Oryctolagus cuniculus: one gene and its partners. The protein of the gene in region 4 interacts with the protein of the main gene of each other region in a pairwise test. Links are inferred from orthologs where the notes say so. Each region holds a gene or a part of one and is shown on either strand. Other genes may lie near its edges. The genes, in order: ASPH, GPX7, GET4 and GET3.

Region 1 (4,376 bases), on a different chromosome or scaffold from region 4:
ATCTCATTAAATGAATGTAAGGTGATGGTTCAGCAATGATGATTTCTAGTTTGTATTTCTTTATGTGTATGCAATATACTGACGAGAACCAAATTCAATGGTGACACGAATGTCACTCCATGAGCACTGGATTGTATTGCCCTTTGTCAGTCATTTCCTCTGTCCAATAAATTCTGAGGGACACAAATACTGTCTTATCTTTTATGAGTTTGATTTCTCTTTTTCATTTTGGTAATTAATTTGATAGTTTCCCTCTTGTGCCTCTTTGTTTTAGTAGGATTTCTGAACATTGGCAAAACAGAAGGAACAGGAGAAATATTTTTAAAATTTTTCTACTGAGGCCAATATCAATAAAGTCAAGGAAAAGGGGTCAATTTCTATGTTAAAGAAATTAAAAAAAAACATTTATCTATCTATTTGAAAGAGCTACACAGAGAGAGAGAGAGAGAGAGAGAGAGATGGAGAGAGAGAGGCAGAGAGAGATCTGTCCACTCGTTCACTCTCCAAATGCCCACAAAGGCAAGGGCTGGACCAGGCCAAAGCCAGTAGCTCCATCTAGGTCTCCCAAATGGGTGACAGGGACCCAAACACTGGGCTGTGTCCATTGCCTTTCCCAGGCCATCAGCAGGCAGCTGCATTGGAAGTGGGGCAGCCAGGACATGAACTGGCATCCATATGGGATGCCGATGTTAAAGGCAGCAGTCTTAACTGCTACACCACAAGGCCAGCCCCAAAGAAATATTTTTTCCCCATAGACTTATTTATTTATTTATTTGACAGGCAGAATTAGAGATAAAGGGAGAGAAAGAGAGACAGAGAGATCTTCTACCCACTGGTTCACTTCCCAAATGGTTCCAACAGCTGGGGCTGGGCCAAGTCGAAGCCAGGAGCTTCATCCTGGTCTCCCACATAGGTGCAGGGGCCCAAGTACTTGGGCCATCTTCTGCTGCTTTCCCAGGCACATTCACAGAGATCTGGATTGGAAGTGGAGCAGCTGGAACTCGAACCAGTGCCCACATGGGATGCTAGCATCAAAGGCAGTGACTTAACCCACTATGCCACAACATTGGCCCCATGAAATAGTCTTTAATGACATAAAGAAAGCCTCCTTAGTATTGGAACAAAAAGAAAGCACAGGTGTATTTTTCGACCTGTGAATGCAATCAGGTGATCTATGTGCCATTTTGGCATTTTTGTTCATATTGGCTTAGAATTCAGTGCCTGAATATCATTACATTCTTAAACATGTCTAGTTAGCATGTATTTTAAAAATACACAGTCAAATACATTACTGCTTTACTAAATCAGGGATTTGATTATCTTGGGATTGAGTGGGCAACACCATTTTCTATTGTGATTTTTAGGTCATGGGTAATATTAGCAGTACATGTAGATAATTATTGTTCTTTCAAAGTGATGTTTCAAAGGCAGAAGTTCCTCGAGCCAGGGAGATAGAAGAGGAGAGCAATCTCCACCTCCTACACCCAGCATGAGGATCCTAGCATCCTTCATGACTTTCACTCTGTACCCTTAATGTTTTTACAAAGCTGTGGGGGTTATCTCCACGGCCAAATGCCCTCACATAGATTGACAGTAGGCAGGTGCCCTGGATTCCTAGGTCCTGCTCACAGACAGCAAAAAGGACAGGAGCCAGACACCCTAGCAGCGCCTATCTACCGAGTCCTCAGAGAACATCTTCTACGCATTTTACCCCCTCACAAACACAAGGCCTAATACTGGGCATTAAAAAATTTCTATTCAGTATTTTTATAATTCTCTGTAAAAATGATTCCATATCCTTTTTCAATGTTAAAAAAACTCCTCTTAGAAAGAACTATGATTTTTATAATATTTCCACCATTAGCATAATGAGGAAAAATTAAGATACTGGATCTCAACGCAGATAATAAGTAGGGATCAGCATAGTTCACAGGCATTGGATTGGTGTAATTATGTGTTCTCTTTTGTATTAGGAAAGTAAAATTGCTTTATTCAAGAGTGTCTTTTACTGAAAGAATTAAAAGAGGGAAATCTCAGTTTGCCAGGGAAGTTATCATTAAACAGCTAGAGATAAAGCATTTACATAGCTTGTCATTGAAATCCACAAAAAGTAGTGGTATATGATGACAAAACAGTTTGACTATCCTAGAAAAATATAACTACATAGAAAAATTCCAACTAAAGCAATATATTCACAGTTTCTACATATGTTCTCATTGTATGTTGATTTAGACCTGTTATTCTACATGGAAAGAATATCTTTGGCTGGCAAGGTAGAGGCTGTTAAATGTTCACCTTAGATATAGGCAGAAGGTCCGTGTTGTCACGCAGGTGTTTCCTAAATGAACTGTAATGAGGCAAATACTCTCTTTTGTGTCTTCAAACCCTAGGAGGAGGCATAAAATTGTCCAGGGAATGAAAAGTCTTGGTGTTTACACTTCTTTCTTCACATCCAAGGAGACACAGCCAAAAAGACAACCTCTCTGTAGTGGGTCCCAAGCCTGCATGAATTCCTGCTAAATTGCGGGAAGGCTGCGTCTCTGATGGGGGGTGAGCTCTGGGTGCCACACATCCACGATGAAAATCAGCCGGAAAGATGAGGCATCCTGCCACACTTCATGCTCAAAGGAGTCGTCAAAGATGAACACCTTGCCTTCCTCCCAGGTCCTGGAACAGAGAGACACAGATTCTAGAGTTCAGCTTTGTGTGGTTCAGCTGCCTGAGGTCAATTCCTGTCCGCATGCAGGAAGCCCTTTCTATAATCTTTGCGATATACCAGCTAACCAGAACGCCAAGCCAGAATTTATTCCTCCCCTGGTGACAAAGAAAGGACTTCAGGATTCTTAGCATAAACATTCATTTTTCATTGCTCCGCATTGAGGATGTACCATGGGCAGGGGACTGGTGATGAGGGCCTACTGACAGCATCACAGGCACCACACTGGTGCTGGCTCTCACCCTCGGAGGGGCCTCCTTGATCAGCCCAGCACTGGAGCGCATGCCCTGGCAGTTCCTGCATGCAACAGCTCCTCAGTTAGGGACTCCACGGCCTTTTCCTCCGGGGTCTTTCAGAGATGAGTTTAGAACCACAGGTGGGGACCAGGTGTCAGGCATCTCAGTGCCTCTGAGGACACCTGGCAGGGGTTTGTGCATCACCAAGTGATTTTCCTTTCAGCTTACAAGTTCCATTTTATGGAATTGAGTCTTCACTTACACTCAGTGACCAGAAGGCATATAACCAAATTATGTGGTTCCAAGCTAGTATAACTGGTTGGGGAAAATGGGCAGATTGGGAATGGATTTTGTATATTTTTAGTGTCATCTGCTATGCAAGTGGGTTATCCATGGAATATTTTAAGTCAATGTTGCAAAACACTTTAGAGCCTCCAGTACTACCTCTCAAGAGATCTGGATGGTTACTTAGATCTAAATATAGTGTTAGTCTAAACAAAGCAATCAAGGCGGAAATATGCAGGAGGCAGTTACACCAGGTCTTTCAAATCCAAAGAAAGTTTATTAACTATATGACAATGCTCCCTTCCATTAAAAATAGATACTAATTGCTAATATCTTAAATGCTGTTATGTTTTTAAAATGAAATTTCCTTTATATTTTAAGATTCCACTTAAGCACTTGAAATTTTACATCTTGGATTAGCAAAATAGTTGCATTAGGGCATAGATATGCTAATGTGATTTCAAACTATCACTTTATCATAAAGACCTTTTTATTGGGAAAATGACTGATGTCCTTTTTATGTTTCTTATTAGGTGATAAATCAACATAAATCAAGCACAATGATGTATTGCAGGGCTTCTTGATCTCGGCACTACTGATGTGTGGGCCAGATCACTCTCTGTTGGACAGGCTCTCTCGTATACTGTAGCAACATCACCCACTAGATAGCAGTAGGACAGGACCTGCACACCAGTGTGACTTCCTCAGTCACTGCCAAAAGGCCCGGGGTGGGGGTGGGGGCAAAATCATCCCAGTGGAGAATAACTGACAAAGTGTGTGATTTCGACAATAAACTTCCAACTTGTTTAAAGTGACTGATAAAGTAATTCACATTTACAAGTTAAAAGCTCATTAAAGCAATACTTCTGCTACTCACCCATACAACACCCCTGCCCCTGCCCCACCTGGCCCTGCCCTTTGTGCTGTCACACATCTAACCTAATGTCTTACATTCAATAAAAAAGAAGTGTTGCTTGGGTCTTTACCTTCCTCTGAAGGTTTACAAGAGTTCCATTAGAATTCTATCCAAAGGTAACAAAGGACAGAAAACAGAGATTTAGGAGCAAATGACCGAAGAGGCATTCATCATGATGCAAAATCAAACTTAAAGAAAGGCAACACCAAGAAAAGAAAAGAAA
Region 2 (6,044 bases), on a different chromosome or scaffold from region 4:
AATGGAAGTCTCTGTTTCTCTCTGTCTTTCTGCCTTTCAAAAATTGATTAATTAATAAACTGTGCTTTTAATTTTTTAAAGTTTATTTTGGTGCAAAAAATGAAACCCATGCATAATTTTTGCATAACTAAATTTTCTATGAACTTTTAAAAAATTATTTTAGAAGCAGAGAGAGACAGAGGCATAGAGGAAGAGGTAGAGAGATAGCTCCCATCTGCTGGTTTACTCCCCAAAGCCCCCAGCAGACAGGACTCAGCCAGACCAAAGCTGGGAGCTAGGAATTCCATCCAAGTCTCCCAAATGGGCAGCAGAGACCCAACTACTTGAGCTATCATCTGCTTTCTCAGAGGGTACACATTAGCAGGAAGCTAGAATTGGGACTGGAGCTAGGGCTTAAACCCAGGCACTCTATTCAGGGATGTGGGCATCTTAGCTGCTGCCCCAAACACTTGCCCCCCAAGAAAACCTTTTAATTCCATTTCCCATAAACTTTTTGAGATAACCTCATATGTGACTCTTCTGGCCATCAATGCTCTCTTACAAATACAAGAACACTCTGTACATATGTGAATGTGTGTGCAATGCTCCCACCTATGCACAAACACATGCACACAGGCACACATGAAATCAAGCATGCAGGGGCTTCCAGATGTGCACCACATACATGAACACTTGTAAGCATAAGTACATGAAATCTATTAGTGGGTAAGCACATCCATAAACACACATTAGCAAATATGGATCACACACGTTTACACACACATAACACATTCCCAGTGAGAGGCACACACCAGGGGGTGATGTGGAGGAACAGAAAGGCAGACCTGGGTCTAATTTTTGGCTCAGTTAATCTGCACTTATCACTGTACTCTGTAGTTGCCTGTATATATGTCAGCCTTCCTTCTAGAAGGTGAACCTACAGAGGGCAGGAGCTATCCACTTCCTCCCTGGGCCTGGTGTATGGGAAAGTCTCAGGACATGTCCGGGGATGAGTGAGTGTGCACACACAGGAATAGCTGCATGGGTACCTGGGCAGACACAGGTTTTCTTGTTAAGAACCCCAGGACCCCAGGACATTCCCTTTCTATCCCTTCCCTGCCAGCAATACTTCATGTTTTGATCATCAGACTAATCCCTTAATTTATTAAAGCCTTATAGGCAATATATATAAAGCTGGCTGATAGACCTGGATTTTAATACTACAATTAGAATTTTGGCACTGATGCTATGTTGTAAGCCCCTAACTATATATTCCTAAAGTATTAAAAACCCTACCCCATGCCTGGCCATCCCTGCCTATCTCCCTGGCTGGTGTTTGTGAAGAGTCAGGATTATACCAGCTGGCCCAAAAAGAGGAACACCTCCCAGGGTTAGGGGAGCACTCGACAGGCCCAGGCAAGAAAGGTTTCTCAGCCTCAGTGCTACTGACATTGTGGGTTGTACGCTGCTTTTCCATGGGGCTCTCCTGCTCACTGTAGCATGTCTGGCAGCAACCCTGGCCTCTACCCACTAGCTGCCTAGTCTTGACAATCAAATATGTTTCCTGGCATAATCCAGTGTTCCCTGGGCTGGGGGGCAAAATCACCCCTAGCTGAGAGCCTACTGGGCTAGCTGACTACACACTGCGCCAGAACTCCGGCATGCTGCCTCTACCCCAAAGACCCATTCCCTGGGGCCAGAGGCTTTAGAACAGCTTCCCCCATTAGTGGGCAGCATCTGCCCCGTTCTGCCCTGGCTGGTGAGAAACTGGGACTCTTCATTCTCTTCCCCAGTCTGGGGTCTTCCAGGAGCATTACAGATAAGAACATTAAAAGCTGCTTATCTTTATGAACCCACACCTTGTGTGTCTACCCACGCTGTTGGAAGTGGGGAAATCTTGCTTCTAGTTCCATCCCTGCAACCCACTGATTGATTTTTAGAGACCAAAACACAGACACACACCAACATTTACTTAATTTACATAGATACTTACAAAGCAGACTCTGAAGCATACAAAGCAAGCAAATAAAGCATTCACACACACACATACCACCTGCAGGCCACACTACACAACCCCATATGATACACAAGCACACACCTAAGTGGTCACCCGCACACCTATACTCAACACTGGTCTAAGTCCTAATTAGCTCATGGGCATAAACCATGTCACTCTTACTCATGGATGCCAGCCAGGTAACAGGAGCTGGAACATGTGTGCAGGTAACTGAATGAGCATATTTTCCAGGCAGCAGACCTAGCTTGGCCTAACTCTTAGCCCCATTTACAGCTTCCCCGGACTGTTTTTGTCCTAGCACTTGTTACTACTGAGAATCACCTTGTTCATTATCGCTTCTTTGTTAACTGTCTCTCTCCCACAGATAAGTTCCAATAAAGAAGAAAACTGTTACGTTCACCTCTGTATTCCCAGGGTCTGGGTTGGTTTCTAGTATACAGTAGGCACTCAGTAATAAACGATGAATTAATGAGCAGCAGAGCTGGTCCGTGCTAACTCTGGAGCTCTCTGGTGAGACGGCACAGAGAGAAGGAAAAGTGTGAATGGGAAAGGGCCCTACTTGCCTTGGCTCGGTGCCCTGAGTCCTAGATGAGGCTCCTGTCCTGGGACAGAGCACTCTGAAGTTTTCTAAGAGCTTTTACGCGGTTGTCTCAAGTGGAACAACACCCGGGGACAGTCAGGACAGGAATGACTGTCCCCAGGACTCCAGCAAGCTTTCTCCAATACTTTCTTCCCTGGAGATGGCCTTGCGCCCAGGAGAAGGCTGACTCCATTTTCCTGTGGTCTATCCACAGGGGTCCCCGGGTCCATCTAGGAAGCAGCCTGGAAGAGGTCTTCACTCCGGCCTCTGCCAGCAGTGGGCAGTATCAGAGGCCCCTCCAGGCCTGCCATGATCCCTCTGGGCCTACCCCTCCCTCCCTTCTGGCTGTTGGCTGCTGAGCCTGGACTAGGACAGTTAACTCCCTTTGTCTGGAATGTTCTTTTTAGTCCCGCAAAAATGCACTTTCATATCAAGGATTGCGCCCAGCTACGCCCCTCCCTGACCCCCTGTCGCCTCTCAGAGCTGATTCCTTCTTGGTAAAGAGGAGCCAGCCCGCCTGCAGAGCTCCCGGGTCTCAGTCTCAGGGTCTCCGCCCTGCGCTGCCTTGCACAGAGTTCGCCAGGAGGGAGGGAGAGGGGAGTGCTCTCCCCTCCAGGCTGGTGGCCGCCTAGTGCCGCATGGCCTCGTGCAAACGCTTCCCATCTCTCCAGGATGGGCCGTGGGAAGGTCCCCCGTGCACCTAAAATGCTACCGCCCTCACCCCGCACATTGCTCTCCAGTGTTCTCACTGACTCCGCATCAGCAACTGCCCAGTTCCCAACGTGGAACCCGGGGACGGAGAGGCAAAGGCCGCACGGTGTTAAAGTGACTTTTCCCACGCGCGGATGGCAAAGGCTGGGCCTGCCTGCCAGGGCCGGACGCCGCTGTCCCGGGCCGCCGGGAGCGAAGTGGGCGCGGGCTGCGAGTCTCGGGTTTCGCTGCGCGCAGGGGCCGTGCCACGTAGTCGCGGGACGGACACGGCTGGCTCCCAGCTCCGAGCGCCGGGGCGGACAGAAGGCCCCGGTGCGGGTGGCAGCCGAGTCCGGGTGCTGAGCGGCCAGAGCCACACCCGGCAGGGCCCCAGGCCGCCGGCGCCCCCCGCAGGCCTGCAGGGCGGCGTCCCAACCCCGCAGCGGACACGCACTCACCGAGCCGCGGTACTTCTCCAGCGACACCAGCTTGCCCCGGATGTTGACCACCTTGAAGTCGTAGAAGTCCTGCTCCTGCTGCGCGCAGGCCGTGGCCCACAGGAGCAGCCACGCCACCGCCACCGCCGCCACCATGGCTCTCTTCCGAGGGGCGGCGATGCAAGGCCAAAGACCAGGCGTGGGGAATCGGCGTGGGGGGCGGGAGGAGGCGGCCCCGCGAGGCAGGACGCGCCCCCTTCTCGTTTTTCCTCCAGCGAGCACTGGGCTCCGGAACTCAGTTTCCCCTTCGGTCCTACAAAAGCTCTGGAATGCGCCCCGGGGCCCGGACCCCAGAGCCAGGCTTTTAGGTTCTGACCACTGAGGCTAGAATTTTCTTCGTGGGGCTCTTGCGTGCCCCAGGAGGCAGCAACTTAGTGCAGAACGAGAAACAGAAATCTGGTCTGAGACCTGAGCTGCTCATTCAGTGCAGCGCCCCTGAGCCGGTTACTCCACCCCTGAGGCCTCAGTTTGTCCGTCTGTGTAACGGGGCTAGCCTTCCTAGCCTTCCAGTCCCTAGGCCCTCCAGCCATTGAAAAAATGAATGCGACTCACGGACAGCGGAATGGAGCATACACGTTTAGGGATTTGAATGAATGTTCCAGGAACGGACTGCTTGGAGAAGCTGGCGGCCTACTGGGGGTTGGGTTCCTGGGAAGCAGAGTGTAGGATGGGGATTGTAGAGCAGGATGTTAATGAGGGGGCACCCTTGGGATCCACACCTGGAGTGGCAGAGGCAGGAGTGGAGAGCTCCGTGCAGATTCTAGGACTGTCCTGGCTGACCCGGCAGGGACTCTGGAGCTAGAATGGCCCATAGGAGCCCTTTTCCCCCCAGATGAGTTAAGATGGCCAGGCCTAATGCCACTGTCTTCATCCACGCATTCATTAGATGTGGAACTATCTGGGCAGGGGTGTGACAGGGGCAAGATGGTCCTACCCCTGTAGGAGCTGACAGCTAAAGGCTTTATACTGACAGCACTACCAGCAACTATGTCCCAGGTCGTCATTGATGGGGTATTTGGGAAGCAAATCACAGTTTCTCCCTGTGAGGCCCACAAAGTGCCAAGCATGGGGCTGGCAGCCAACCCTGTGCCAGTCCCTGCAGGAACCCCCAGGCTGGTGTAAAAGAAGCCAACTAAGGGGGAGATCGTGTGTCCTGTAAAGACTAAGCACTCCTGTAGACAATCAGCAAACACTTCTTGAGTGTTCTGTGCCAGGTTCTGCTCTGGGTGATGCTCATGCAGTGATAAGCAAGATAGGCATGATCCCTATTGAGGGAGAGACAGACATTAAATAATTTGTAATTAGGAGCTGGTGTTTTAGCACAGCGGGTTAGGCAGCTACTTGAAAAAGCCACATTCCATAGAGGAGTGCCTGTTTGACTTCTTTCTGGCTGCTCCACTTCTTTTTTTTAATTTAATTTTATTTTTTGACAGGCAGAGTGGACAGTGAGAGAGACAGAGAGAAAGGTCTTCCTTTGCCGTTGGTTCACCCTCCAGTGGCCGCCGCAGCCGGCGTGCTGCGGCCAGCGCACCGCGCTGATCTGATGGCAGGAGCCAGGTATTTATCCTGGTCTCCCATGGGGTGCAGGGCCCAAGGACTTGGGCCATCCTCCACCACCCTCCCGGGCCACAGCAGAGAGCTGGACTGAAAGAGGAGCAACTGGGACAGAATCCGGCGCCCCAACCGGGACTAGAACCCGGGGTTCCGGTTCCGCAGGCAGAGGATTAGCCAAGTGAGCCGCGGCACTGGCCAAGAGATATTTTGAAGAACAACAACAACAAAAAAAGTGCAATGAGAAACGAAGACGGGTAGTTTTGTTGAAGAAAGATGGAAGGATGAGGCCGGCGCCGCGGTTCACTAGGCTAATCCTCCGCCTTGCGGCGCCAGCAACTGGGTTCTAGTCCCAGTCAGGGCGCTGGATTCTGTCCCAGTTGCCCCTCTTCCAGGCCAGCTCTCTGCTGTGGCCAGGGAGTGCAGTGGAGGATGGCCCAGGTGCTTGGGCCCTGCACCCCATGGGAGACTGGGATAAGTTCCTGGCTCCTGCCATTGGATCAGCGCGGTGCGCTGGCCACAGCGACCATTGGAGGGTGAACCAACGGCAAAGGAAGACCTTTCTCTCTGGCTCTCTCTCTCACTGTCCATTCTGCCTGTCAAAAAAAAAAAAAAAAAAAAAAAAAAAGAAAAAAAAAAGAAAAGAAAAGAAAGATGGAAGGATGAAAGGGAAGGCGGGGAAGCAGGTGGAAATGACATCAAATCAAGAAGCCAAAAAGGAGTTGTGCTT
Region 3 (5,797 bases), on a different chromosome or scaffold from region 4:
ACAATGCCCACTAGCACCCTGACAACGCCTGCCGGCACCCCGACCACACCCACCAGCACCCTGAGAACACCCACTAGCACCCCGACAGTGCCCACCAGCACCCTGACAACACCCGCCGGCACCCCCTGGCCATCGCCGACACGTACTTGGCCGTGGCTGAAGAACAGCAGAGCCCCCGAGTACAGCAGCTCGCGGGCCTCTGTGTGCTTGCCCTGGGACACGTACCTGCGGGAGAGAGAGCAGCGTGAGAACAGCCCGGGCACCCACAGCCCCGGAAGTGGACCTGCGCCCCCGCGGGCTCTCGGGAGCACGCCGCCGGGGAGACGGGGCGGGCAGGCCCCGTCCACACACAGGGCAGCAGTCCGGCGGCCTCAGCCGCGCCACGCCCTGTCCACCTGACGAGGGACGGCAAAGGGCAGGGGTGCGACACGGGGCTCCCGGCCAGCGACGCCCCCAGCCTCCGCGCCCTGCACGTGCTGCCGAATCCTCGGCACACCCTCACGGGGACCCGGGCCCAAAGGCACGGCGGGGGCACCGAACGGCGCCATCTCCCCTGACCTGACCGGCGAGCACGTTTCTTGCCCACGTGCGACAGCACTCAATTCTGGATTTCTGAGGCCTGCGACAAACTCACCCCGCCGGCCACCTCTTAGGAGACCCAACCACGAGAAAGAACTCTGGGAAGGCGAGGAACCCGACTCCTGGGGTGGGGTCCTGGCCGCGAGGGGGCTGCCGGGACCACAGTGCCCAGAGCAGGGGCCCAGCAGCCCAGGTCCAGTGGGGGGTGGGCAGCCTCAGGACTTCCGCACTGCCGACAGGGCTCAGCCCGCCTGCGCCTCCTGCCCGGTGAGGGTCCCGGCGTCCACCGCAGAGCCCCAGGACCCCGCTCCCAGGTGGGTGCCGACCGCGGGCCACGGCAGGCTCACTCCCTCCTTGCTCTACAAACAAAGCAAAACCCCCACAGAACACCAGAACCCACGCGCTGATGCCCACGACGCAACGTGGGAGTGCCCCAGGACCGGCCGGGCCTTAGCACGGGCTTGCTGGAGGCAGCTCTGTCCGTGCTCAGCTGTTGGGAACAGCCAAGCAGGGACGTGGACACAGGCCAAGGCGCTGTGGAGACGGTGTCCGACCCTGTGCCGTGGCAGGGGCTTCAGTGCTGGCGTGGCCAGGACACAGCCGCCCGTGTCCCCAGCAGCTCTTGGGACCAGCTCACCGGGGAACTGGGTGTGCACCACACACCCTCCACGGGGCCTGAAACCCAGCTCGCTCCTCGTCCACGGGGACAGGTCCAACAGCCACCGGCTGAGCAAGCGACCCAGGAACCAGGGCCTGAGCTGCCGGCCCCTCCCCGCTCCCTGCAGCCACGGGACTGAGCAGGCGAAGACCCCGTCAGCAACAAAGCGGACTAAGACACCCGCAGGGACCCCCACCCCGCTCAGCGCATTCAGAATCCAAACAGGCGCCCCCACCGTGACTGCACTGCGCGGGGTTCTAGAAGCCCATCAACCCAGAAGGGCTGACGGCAGCCACTGGGGGGCGGGCCCGGCCCACGTGACTGGTTGCCTGGCAATATGCAAACGCATGACACACATCAGAACCCCAGCTAACTCGGGGACTCCCACTTCCGAGAGGCCGCACTCCCAGAGTGCACCTGGGGACGCGTGTGCTGCGTCCCGGGCCCCAGTGGGGGGTCTGGCAGAAACGCAGCCTCCATGGACGCACTCGTCCACTGAGGGTCACACCAGGGCCAGGCCCGCGGTGCCGCCTGGAGTTCCGGCTGCCCCAGCTCTCCCCAGCTCCCGGCTCACGGCCTGAGAAAGCCGTGGACGGCGGCCCAGTGCCGTGTCCCTGCACCCACGTGGAGACCCAGACGGAGGGCCAGGCTCCTGGCTTCAGCCTGGCCCAGCTCTGCCTTGGGAGTGAACCAGCTTTAAGGGTTAACAACCAAGCCCTGCGGACCTGGCCCACGCGAGGCAGTGTGTTTCCAGGAAGAGACACTCGTGATCAGTCACCATGCAAACACCTACATCCCGGTCCCCAAGACCAGCACCCGTCTCATCTCGGGGGCGCAGGTCCAGACGGGACGGTGCGCACACACCCCACACCACTGCTCCCCGAGGAGCGATGCAGCCCGCGGGGAGCCAGCGCGCCCAGAGCAGCCCACGGCAGCCGCGGGGGAGCCAGCGCGCCCAGAGCAGCCCACGGCAGCCGCGGGGAGGCAGCGCGCCCAGAGCAGCCCACGGCAGCCGCGGGGAGGCAGCGCGCCCAGAGCAGCCCACGGCAGCCGCGGGGAGGCAGCGCGCCCAGAGCAGCCCACGGCAGCCGCGGGGAGCCAGCGCGCCCAGAGCAGCCCACGGCAGCCGCGGGGAGCCAGCGCGCCCAGAGCAGCCCACGGGCATGGACATGACCACCCCGGGGTGAAGGCTGCACGACCTCAAACCTCCTCCTGAACCCATCTCCTCGCAGCCTGACTGCCGGGCGTCACTGCACAGAAGGTTCCGGAACCAGACCTGTCTCAGGTCACTTAGGAGAGCGACTCACACCTCCTCCTCGGCCAGGAGCCCGGGACTCCACACACACTCCCTACCCGGGGCACAGCAGGGCTGTGGAGGCAACAGACGCCAAGGCAGGGCGGTGCTGGCCTCGCTCGGTCCTCTTCCCGGGACAGGGGTGCTGGGCCCACGCTCAGTCCTCTGCCCGGGACAGGGGTGCTAGCCCCACGCTCGGTCCTCTTCCCGGGACAGGGGTGCTGGGCCCACGCTCAGTCCTCTGCCCGGGACAGGGGTGCTAGCCCCACGCTCGGTCCTCTTCCCGGGACGGCGGTGCTGGCCCCACACTCAGTCCTCTGCCCGGGACAGGGGTGCTAGCCCCACGCTCAGTCCTCTGCCCAGGATGGGAGTGCTGGCCCCGTGCTCAGTCCTCTTCCTGGGACGGGAGTGCTGGCCCCACGCTCGGTCCTCTGCCCGGGACGGGCGGTGCTGGCCACGCTCGGTCCTCTGCCCGGGATGGCGGTGCTGGCCCCGTGCTCGGTCCTCTTCCCGGGACGGCGGTGCTGGCCACGCTCGGTCCTCTGTCCGGGATGGCGGTGCTGGCCCCGTGCTCGGTCCTCTTCCCAGGACGGCGGTGCTGGCCCCGTGCTCGGTCCTCTTCCCGGGACGGGGGTGCTGGCCCCACGCTCGGTCCTCTTCCCGGGACGGGGGTGCTGGGCCCACGCTCGGTCCTCTGCCCGGGATGGGGGTGCTGGCCCAACGCTCGGTCCTCTGCCCGGGACGGGGGTGCTGGCCCAACGCTCGGTCCTCTGCCCGGGACGGGGGTGCTGGCCCCACGCCCGTCCTCTGCCCGGGACGGGGGTGCTGGCCCCACGCCCGTCCTCTGCCCGGTGTCCCCCGGCCGGGGCCTCAGACCCTGCGCCCCCGCGCCCCGCGAAGCCCAGCGACTCTCACCACGGGCCCCAGGGCTGGCACGCACGTCCCACGCGAGTTACCGAGAACCGAACCTGCCCCGAAACTCAGCCTCACGAAACAGCGGGCGCCGGGCCGGGCCTGAGCCGCGGGCTCGCATGGCGGCCACGCCGGCGCCGGGGGCGGGCCGGGCCGCAGGCCGCGCCGAGGGGTCGCCCCACGGTCAGGGCGCCCGACGGCCGTGCCGCCCGCGGGGACGCCCCAGCCGGCTCGCAGCTCGCGGAGGGGAGGCCGCGGCCGCGCCGGGCCGGGTCAGGCCGGGTCAAGCCGGGCCGGCCGCCCGCAGCCCCCCGCCCGCCGCCCCAGCCCCCCGCGCCCGGCCGGCCTCGGCCTCCGACAGGCAGCCGCGCGGACCAATGGGGGCGCGGGCTGGCGCGGCGCGACCAATAGGAGGCGGGCGGGGGCGGGCCGGGCCGGGCGGACGCGCCGCGCCGCGGCTACCTGAAGAAGAGCGTCCGGTACATCTGGTGCGCCTCGTAGTAGTCGCCCTTCTCCACGCTGGCGCGCAGCTTGCCCTCCACGCGCTGGACGCCGCCGCGGTTGCGCGCGCCGTTGCGGGCGCTCTCCTGCTCGGCCATCGCCGCCGCCATCGGGCCGGCGCTCCGCGCAGGGCTGACGCTGTCGCTGTCGCAGGGGCGGTCGGCGGCGACTCCCTCCCGGCTTCCGTCCCGCGGCCGCGCCACGCCCTCTACGGTGGCCGCGAGGAGCCGCACGCAGGCGCGGGGCGCTGCGCGGTGGGCACACGTGACTCAGCAGCCGGGCCGCCTGTGGCGAGGGGCACGTGGCCCGGGGGCGGAGCCGCGGGCTACCACCTGACGCGGGCCGGGCGCGCGCTCGCAGCACAATGGCTGACGCGGCCCTGGACGCTGGCCGCCCCGAGAGCGCGAGGGGCCCGCGCCCACGGGGCCGCCCGGAGAGCGCGAGGGGCCCGCGTCCACGGGGCCGCGGGAGAGCGCGAGGGGCCCGCGCCAACGGGGCCGCCCCAGAGCGCGAGGGGCCCGCGCCCACGGGGCCGCCCCAGAGCGCGAGGGGCCCGCGCCCACGGGGCCGCCCCAGAGCGCGAGGGGCCCGCGTCCACGGGGCCGCCCGGAGAGCGCGAGGGGCCCGCGCCCACGGGGCCGCCCCAGAGCGCGAGGGGCCCGCGTCCACGGGGCCGCGGGAGAACGCGAGGGGTCCGCGCCCACGGGGCCGCCGGAGAGCGCGAGGGGCCCGCGTCTACGGGGCCGCCCGGAGAGCGCGAGGGACCCGCGTCCACGGGGCCGCCGGGAGAGCGCGAGGGGCCCGCGCCTACGGGGCCGCCCCAGAGCGCGAGGGACCCGCGTCCGCGGGTGCCCCGGCCCCTCGTGGAAACCGAGCCGGCGACGAACGCACGGCCGACCATGATGGGGGCACCGCTCAGGCCGAGGGGGCGACTCGTGTCTGGCGGGTGAAGCCGCCGCCTGCAGCGCGTGGGTTCGAGCCCCGGCTCCGCTTCCGGCCCCGCTCCCGCTCACGGCCCGGGACGCGGAGCCGCGGGGTCTCGAGCCGGCGCCCGCGTGGGCTGAGCCGCAGGCGTGGCCACGTCACGGTCACTCCCCTCCCCGGGCCGCCCGCCGATGGCGGGGTGGCCAGCGGGGCAGCAGGCGGGCGGGCAGAGGAGCTCTGTGCCTCCGTCTGCGCCTCCAGTTCTGCCTGTAAATGCAAAGGCGCAGACAACCCGAGGAGAGCGCACGGCTTGCTGGTTTAAACACCACATGCACTGTAAAAATTAAAACTCTTTATTTATTTAAACATTTCAGTAGCATCTTATCAACTGGTGTCCGCGTAAGAAGCATTACCAAAGACGTATTCTGAAAAGCATTTACAAAAATACATTGCACAAAGTCCTATCTTCAAAAATAAATATGCAAAATATGTCCACCCGCTCCGGACCGAGTCTCACGTAGGAGATCCTGGTGCACGTGTGAGCTGTGTCGCCGCGCAGCGCCAGCCCTGAACGCGCTCCGGTCTGCGCGTGCAGAACCGGCAGCGCCGTCACGGCCTTTTCTGAAAACATCAAACTCAACCAGTGGAACTTAGAGAACTCTCAACGCGACGGCCGAACCCTAAGCGCCCTGCAGACACCTGTACAAAGCCTGCGCGGTAGTACAATCTGTGTATCAAATGGTAGTTAGGACCAAACGGGCCGCCGCGCCTGGAGTCGGCGCCCACCAGGACAGCGGCAGCCAGGCGGGGCGCCCCGGGACGCGGGGCGGGGCTCCCGCACGCGCGCACACACACGCACACGCACGCGCTCGCAGTCGCACGTTTAATGAAGCACAGGACTGCGCCTTCATCTCCGCCGCCATCCCCGA
Region 4 (6,096 bases):
GACCCCTCTCCTCCACACTCCATTCTCGTCTCAGCCTTCTCTTCTTTGTAAAACCTGTTCATACCCAGCACCCCTCCTGGCTGTCACCTGCATGCAGTCCCCTCCTCCTGGCTCCTCCCCATCAGGAAACCAATGCATGCCAGGGGCCAGACAGTCCCCTCCTGGGGGCAGGCGTCAGGGTGCTGACTGCTTGGGACCCCAGCACCCTGGTATCGGAGTGCCTGGGACCAAGCTTTGGTTTGTCTGTTTCGCAACCCAGCTCTCTGCTATGGCCTGGGAAAGCAGCGGAAGATGGCCCAAGTGCTTGGGCCCCAGCACCCACGTTGAGGGGAGACCTGGAAGAAGCTCCTGGCTTTGGATCAGCTCAGCTCTGGCTGTTGCAGCCATCTGGGGACTGAACCAGCCGGGAGGAAGACTTCTCTGTCTCCATCTCTCTGTAACTCTGCCTCTCAAATAAATTTTTCTTAAAAAAAAGAGAGAGAGAGCTGTTTTATTTCTGTCCCACCCTCATTACAACCATGCTCTCCTTTGAGAACACATCTCAACCATGCCTGACTGTCTCTCAGTAGTCTGCCTCCACACACGTGCAGGCTGCTGCCATTGCTAACCGGGACACACTCCAGCTTTCTCTCTCTCCCCCAATCCAGTCTCCCCACAGCAGGCAGAGGAACTTTCTGAAACATGACTCTGGGCATCTGACGCTGCCCTGAAGATACCTAACAACTCTGCATCAGACCAGGGAGCTGGGGCTGGGAGCGTGGTGCAGCGGGTGGGACGCCTGCATCCCGGGCCACGGTGCCTGGGTTTGGGTCCCAGCTCCATTCATGATTCCAGCTTCCTTGCCAACGTGCACCCTGGCACGCAGCAGGTGACGGATGGGACAAGTATATGGGTCCCTGCCGCTCATGTGGGAGACCCAGATAGAGTTCTGGGCCTGTGGGTTCAGCGTGGCTCACCAAACACGGCTGTTGGGGCCTTTTGGGGCAGGAGAGGGAGTGAAGCAGTGGATGGAAAATCTCTCTTTCCTTCTTGGTCTCTCTGCCTTTCGGAGAAATAAAACAGCCAACCAGAACAACCAAAGCAAGGACAAGCTGCCTGCCGCAGCCTGCAAAGCCCGGCCCTCCCTGCCTCTGGGTAGATCCCAAGTTCTCTTGCTCCCCAAGCCCCACTCAACACTGGCCTCCTTCCTGCTCCCCCAAGGGTCCTCCCTTGCGCCCCGCCCCGTGGTTAAGCCGAGGAAAAGGCGACCACTCACCATGGCAAAGAGGTTGTCATAGCCTTTGACCTTAGTAGGCACCTTGGAGAACTTCTGGTCGAAGGCGTCGGAGATGTTGTGGGCGGGGTCTGTGGAGATGATGAGCACGCTCTCCCGCCCCTTGGACAGCTGGACCGCCAGGCTGCAGCTAGGTAAGGAAAGGTGGTTGGATGGGGAGGAAGGGAGTTGACCTCTGCTCCCTCCCGGGGTCTGCAAGGGGGGAAGCTGTGGGGTCCCAGGAGCAGGGACCCGCACTAAAAGGAGACTTGAGACGTTGGGGCTGGCGCTGTGGCGTAGCGGGTAAAGCTGTCACCTCCTGCAGCACATCCCATATGGGCACGGGTTCGAGCCCCAGCTGCTTCACTTCCCATCCGTTAGTTAGCTTGGGCCCCTGTACCCACACGGGAGACCCAGAAGGAGCTCCTAGCTTCTCATCAGTCCAGCTCTGGCCATTGTGGCCATCTGGGGAATGAACCAGTGGATGGAAGACCTCTCTTTGTCTCTCCCTTTCTCTATTAACTCTTTCAATAAATAAATATTTCAAAACAAACAACAACAATAAAAAGACACGTGTACAGGTCCCTGCAGGGCGGGGGTCTTAGGCTTCGCGTGCTGACTGCTCCAAGTCCAGCCTGGCGCCTGTTCCTTTGCTGGGCACCGGGTGGCACTGGTTCAGCTGCCCGGTCAGCAAGGTTTGCGTCTGTGCCCCCTCTGTCAACTCTAACTCATCTGCTGCTCCAGAGACCCCCTCCCCCCAGCTGACGGGGGCAGTCTGATCATGGGCTTTCTCCTCCTCCTCCTCCCACTCTCACACTCAGCAGGGTTCGCTAGGCCAGGACAGCTAGCCCAGGTGTCCCTCAGCCTACCAGGCAAACCCGGGAACGGTCCAGCTGGTGGGGACCCCGAAGAGCTCCTTCCCCCATCCCCCTCGCTGCCCCGTGCGCCGGGCTCACGGGAGCCCCAGCAGGCATGGTTCAGCTCCGAGGGGCGCCAGGCCCACACTGGGGAGGCAGCTTCGGGAAGGGTAACTGGAAGACCCCCCCCCACCCCCCTCGCCGGCCCCGCGTGGAAAGACCAGTGTCTCGGTCTCCCCTTCGCCCGGTGGTACATCCCACCCGCCTCCCCGGCTCCCCGCCGCGGCCTCGCTACCTGCAGGTCGTCTTGCCCACGCCGCCCTTGCCCCCGACGAAGATCCACTTAAGGCTGCGTTGCTCGATGATGTTGCTCAGCGTGGGCTCCAGCGGCTCCACATCAGGTGCATCCTCGAACTCCTCCGCCTCAACCCCCCACCCGGCCGCCCCCGCCGCCATCTTGGAACCGGCTCACGTGATCGGGCGGAGCGCACCATGCAGAACACCCACGGGGGGGAAATTCCCTATTACCGCTGCTTTGAGGTCAGAAGACTGAATTCATTTTCTCGTAGCTTGCCTCTAACGGTCTAATAGAAGCTATATTTTCACTCTCCTCCGCTTTCAGGGCTCATCTAGCAGACCTCTCATCTAAAATTTTCTACGGCTTCTCCCTGCCTAATGGAGATATTGGTACGGTCCAGACTACTCCCCTCCAGTGATTGGGCCCTAAGTCTTGCAGCCCTCCTCTCATTGGCAGCTTCTTTTCTGACTTCAACCAATCACTTTCACATCCCGGTAGCCGCCAGCCTCTCCTTAGCAACCAGCCAAACACCCCGTCCAAGCCCTTGCGGTGAAGTTAAATCCCCGGTCCGCCCTGGCCTCACTCCATAGGCTCTACGTCGCGTCCATCATTCCCTCCCTCTTCTGCAAATTGGGGGCAACCTCGTCTCAGGTCCGCCCCTTCTGTTATTCCATTGGCTGTGAGCCACCCGGCTCTTACCGCAGACCAATCGTGGAGGAGCTGATGAAGGGACTGGAGACCGGTCTCAGTGCTGCGGGAAGAGGACTTCGGTTGTGGGTAGGGGTCCGCAGACCTTTGTCCAGTGCGGGCCTGAGCCGCCCCGTTCCCCACCGCCTTGCTGGGCAGGGAGGGACCATCTTGTAACTTTTGGTCGTAAAATCACTCTTAGTTCTTGAAAACCTTCTCCGGCCTGTTCCAGGGAGAAGACTCCCAATTCCGCGAATTCCCTGCTGGAAACTCTCTGCCCCGGGGATCCCAGGTTCCGGGCGTCCAGAACTTTCTTAAACTTAGAAGGCGGGGGACTGCAGCCTAGAAGCCTCCCCGCCCCTCACCCCTAGCTTCTACTGAGTACTCCAGCCCATTAAGTAACTTTTCCCCCCCCAGACAAGAACCCCAGCTCCACGGAGCCAGCTGTTTCCCCCATTTCCACATGTGAGCTTCATCCCAGAGCTAGGTACCCAACCCAGAGACACCAACCCAGAGACCCTGTAGACCTGGTCGGGGAGTGAAGTTCGGAGGCATCAGCTGGAACTCACAAGCCCCCAACGGAGCCCTTCTCCTAGGAGATTATCCCTGGAGCTAGACAGGGATTCTACCCCTGGAAAGCAACTGCGGCCCTAGCCCCGAGCGGTAACCCCGATCCCGATAGCCAGCTGCATTTCCTGGGTAGCTTGCAGGTTCAGAGCGACGCCGGCCCGGGCCCTTAGAAGAGGAAAACCCTCGGGGCGTGGCTCTCTTCACCACGCCCCTTTCTAGGCACACCCCTGGCCGCCCCGCCCCCTGCCCCGCCCCCACTGCGGACGCTCTTAGGGCCAGACCGCTCTTCCCGGCATGCATTGCTTGGGACGAAGCGAGTCGGGCGCCAAGCGCGGGGCCGGAGCGGCCTTCCCGGAGTCCTTTGCGCGGCACCTGGCGACAAAATGGCTGCCCGAGGGAGACGGGCGGAGCCTCCAGGTCGGGAGGCGCCGGGCCCCGCGGGCGGCGGGGGCAGCGGGAGCCGATGGGCTGAGTCGGGGCCGGGGACGTCGTCCGAGAGCGGGGACGAGGAGGTGTCGGGCGCTGGTTCGAGCCCGGTGTCGGGCGGCGTGAACTTGTTCGCCAACGATGGCAGCTTCCTGGAGCTGTTCAAGCGGAAGATGGAGGAGGAGCAGCGGCAGCGGCAGGAGGAGCCGCCCCCGGGCCCGCCGCGACCCGACCAGCCGGCCGCCGCCGCCGCGGGCCCAGGGGATCCGAAGAGGAAGGGCGGCCCAGGCCCCACACTCAGCTTCGTAAGGAGCCGCGGGGGTGGGGGCGGGCGCCGGGGCCTCCTTTGGCAGGGGGAGTCGGGGCCCGAGAAGGGAGATCGGGATCCAGGGCCGCCCTGCGCCCCGATGAGGGGCCCCTGGGGTCCCCCCGCTGAGGATGTGGCGCTTGGATTCCTGACAAGAGGGGAACCGCGGTGGGGGGGGGGGGCTGGGCGGGAGTCGGGACCCCTGGAGCTTCTCCGTGGGAAGCGGGAGCCGGGAATTGCATTGGGAGCAGCGCCCCGGGCTTGAGGCAGACCTGAGTCCCAGGATCCGTGTTCGGGTGGTAACCCGGCCTGTGGGCTCTGGACCACTCCCCGTTATGGAGAACGGGGTCGGGGCGTACATTGGAGCCCCGTGGAGTCTGAACTGTGTTCCTTAGATAAAGCCTCTTCCCGTGAGACTCTAGGAAAACGCCTGGACTGCCCAGCGTCCGTGTGTTGAGCACGGTCCCTTGTGCTGGGCCTGGAGCTGGCGGGGCTGCACCTTCTGATGGGGGGGGGGGCGGGCTAGAAACCGGGGGCTTCTCAGCTGGAGATGCCGCCCCCTCCCGTAGCCATGTCTGGAGGCATTTTTTTAGGGGGGTGTCGGAGCTGGGGGTGGGGGATGCTGGTGACATCTTCGGATACAGGCCAGGGTTGCTGCTCTCGGGCTGCTTAAGAAGACGGCCTCCTGTCCCTACTCGGGCCAACAGCGGTCCCGCTCCGGAGGCCTCCACTCAGACCCAGGTCCAGGAACTCCGCACTGGCTAAGCGGGCCCCGGGCTAGATGCTGTCAGCTGGGAGCTTGCTCCATCTTGGCTGTTGAATTCCGAGTTCAACGGCCTCCCGGCTGGGGCTGTGTGAATTTTGGACAAGTGACCTGGCCTCTCCCGGCCTCATCTGTTAAACATGCTGAGTTTTTTTTTTTTTTTTTTTTTTAACCGGGAGCACAGGCCCCCTCCCCCTGGTGGAGGAGTGCAGATGGGGTGGTTTGGCGTGTGCCAGGCTTTCCTGTAGCCCTGGGAGTGCTGGACAGAGGCTCACAGTCAGTGGGACACCCGGGTGACCCAGGAAGGGGTGACAGGCGTGGCTGAGGACCCTTCCGTTGAGAGGCAGTAGCACTTGTGCCTGGCTGTGGCATTTGTTTCCAAGTGTACAGGGTGGGTTCTGCCGGGGGGGGTTAAGGTCCAGTGGTGTAGACTTACCCGACCCTGAATCAAGGCTGCAGTGTCTGTTGCCATCATGAGGCATTTCCCCTCTAAAACGCGGATGGGGTATAGCCTTCCACCCAGAGTGGCCACGGGAAAGGACACAAAACAGCGCCAGCTCTTGGGCGTATACAGTAAGCGCTCAATAAAAGCAGCTGCTGGCCACTTAGGTGCGTGATCCCTCATAGAGCAAGGAGTGGGTGGTGGTGGGGGGAAGCTTTCTTCCGCAGAGTGAGTGAGTGAGTGAGTGGGGACAGGGCCAGTGCCCACCGTGGTGGGTGCTTCCCCCTTGCTGCCCTGGGAGGGCAGCCCGGGCCCCCAGGACTGCCTGGGCACCGGCGGGGGGCCCAGGGCAGGCGCTAAGAGTCGCGTGTGCTCCTCTGATTGCTGCGCAGGTCGGCCGGCTGGCGGAGCTGGGCGCGGCGTCGGGACGGGCCACCGGGCCGGGCTAGGAAGGTGTAGTTCGCCTCAGCGCCGCCCAGGGCGGGCCCGGCTCC

What was found.
Region 1: the proteins of GET3 (region 4) and ASPH interact in binary tests that used the Homo sapiens proteins (3 or more experiments, as listed by UniProt). The two-hybrid records come from large-scale screens. The link is inferred for Oryctolagus cuniculus from reciprocal best matches to the Homo sapiens genes GET3 and ASPH.
Region 2: the proteins of GET3 (region 4) and GPX7 interact in binary tests that used the Homo sapiens proteins (3 or more experiments, as listed by UniProt). The two-hybrid records come from large-scale screens. The link is inferred for Oryctolagus cuniculus from reciprocal best matches to the Homo sapiens genes GET3 and GPX7.
Region 3: the proteins of GET3 (region 4) and GET4 interact in binary tests that used the Homo sapiens proteins (3 or more experiments, as listed by UniProt). The link is inferred for Oryctolagus cuniculus from reciprocal best matches to the Homo sapiens genes GET3 and GET4.

The regions. Positions count from the first base shown.
Region 1 is NC_091437.1:86,913,690-86,918,065, forward strand, and holds part of ASPH (aspartyl/asparaginyl beta-hydroxylase), read right to left. Parts: intron 2,668-4,376; coding exon 2,517-2,667; 3' UTR 1-2,516.
Region 2 is NC_091438.1:120,294,847-120,300,890, forward strand, and holds the start of GPX7 (glutathione peroxidase 7 precursor), read right to left. Parts: upstream 3,898-6,044; 5' UTR 3,860-3,897; coding exon 3,725-3,859; intron 1-3,724. UniProt on the Homo sapiens protein: It protects esophageal epithelia from hydrogen peroxide-induced oxidative stress. It suppresses acidic bile acid-induced reactive oxygen species (ROS) and protects against oxidative DNA damage and double-strand breaks.
Region 3 is NC_091450.1:36,346,286-36,352,082, reverse strand, and holds the start of GET4 (Golgi to ER traffic protein 4 homolog), read right to left. Parts: upstream 4,200-5,797; 5' UTR 4,055-4,199; coding exon 3,906-4,054; intron 2,571-3,905; exon of another isoform or gene 2,460-2,570; coding exon of another isoform or gene 2,437-2,459; intron 226-2,436; coding exon 147-225; intron 1-146. UniProt on the Homo sapiens protein: As part of a cytosolic protein quality control complex, the BAG6/BAT3 complex, maintains misfolded and hydrophobic patches-containing proteins in a soluble state and participates in their proper delivery to the endoplasmic reticulum or alternatively can promote their sorting to the proteasome where they undergo degradation.
Region 4 is NC_091447.1:62,268,670-62,274,765, reverse strand, and holds the start of GET3 (ATPase GET3), read right to left. Parts: upstream 3,855-6,096; 5' UTR 2,566-3,854; coding exon 2,405-2,565; intron 1,404-2,404; coding exon 1,256-1,403; intron 1-1,255. Other genes in the region: TRIR (telomerase RNA component interacting RNase), read left to right, coding at 4,048-4,395.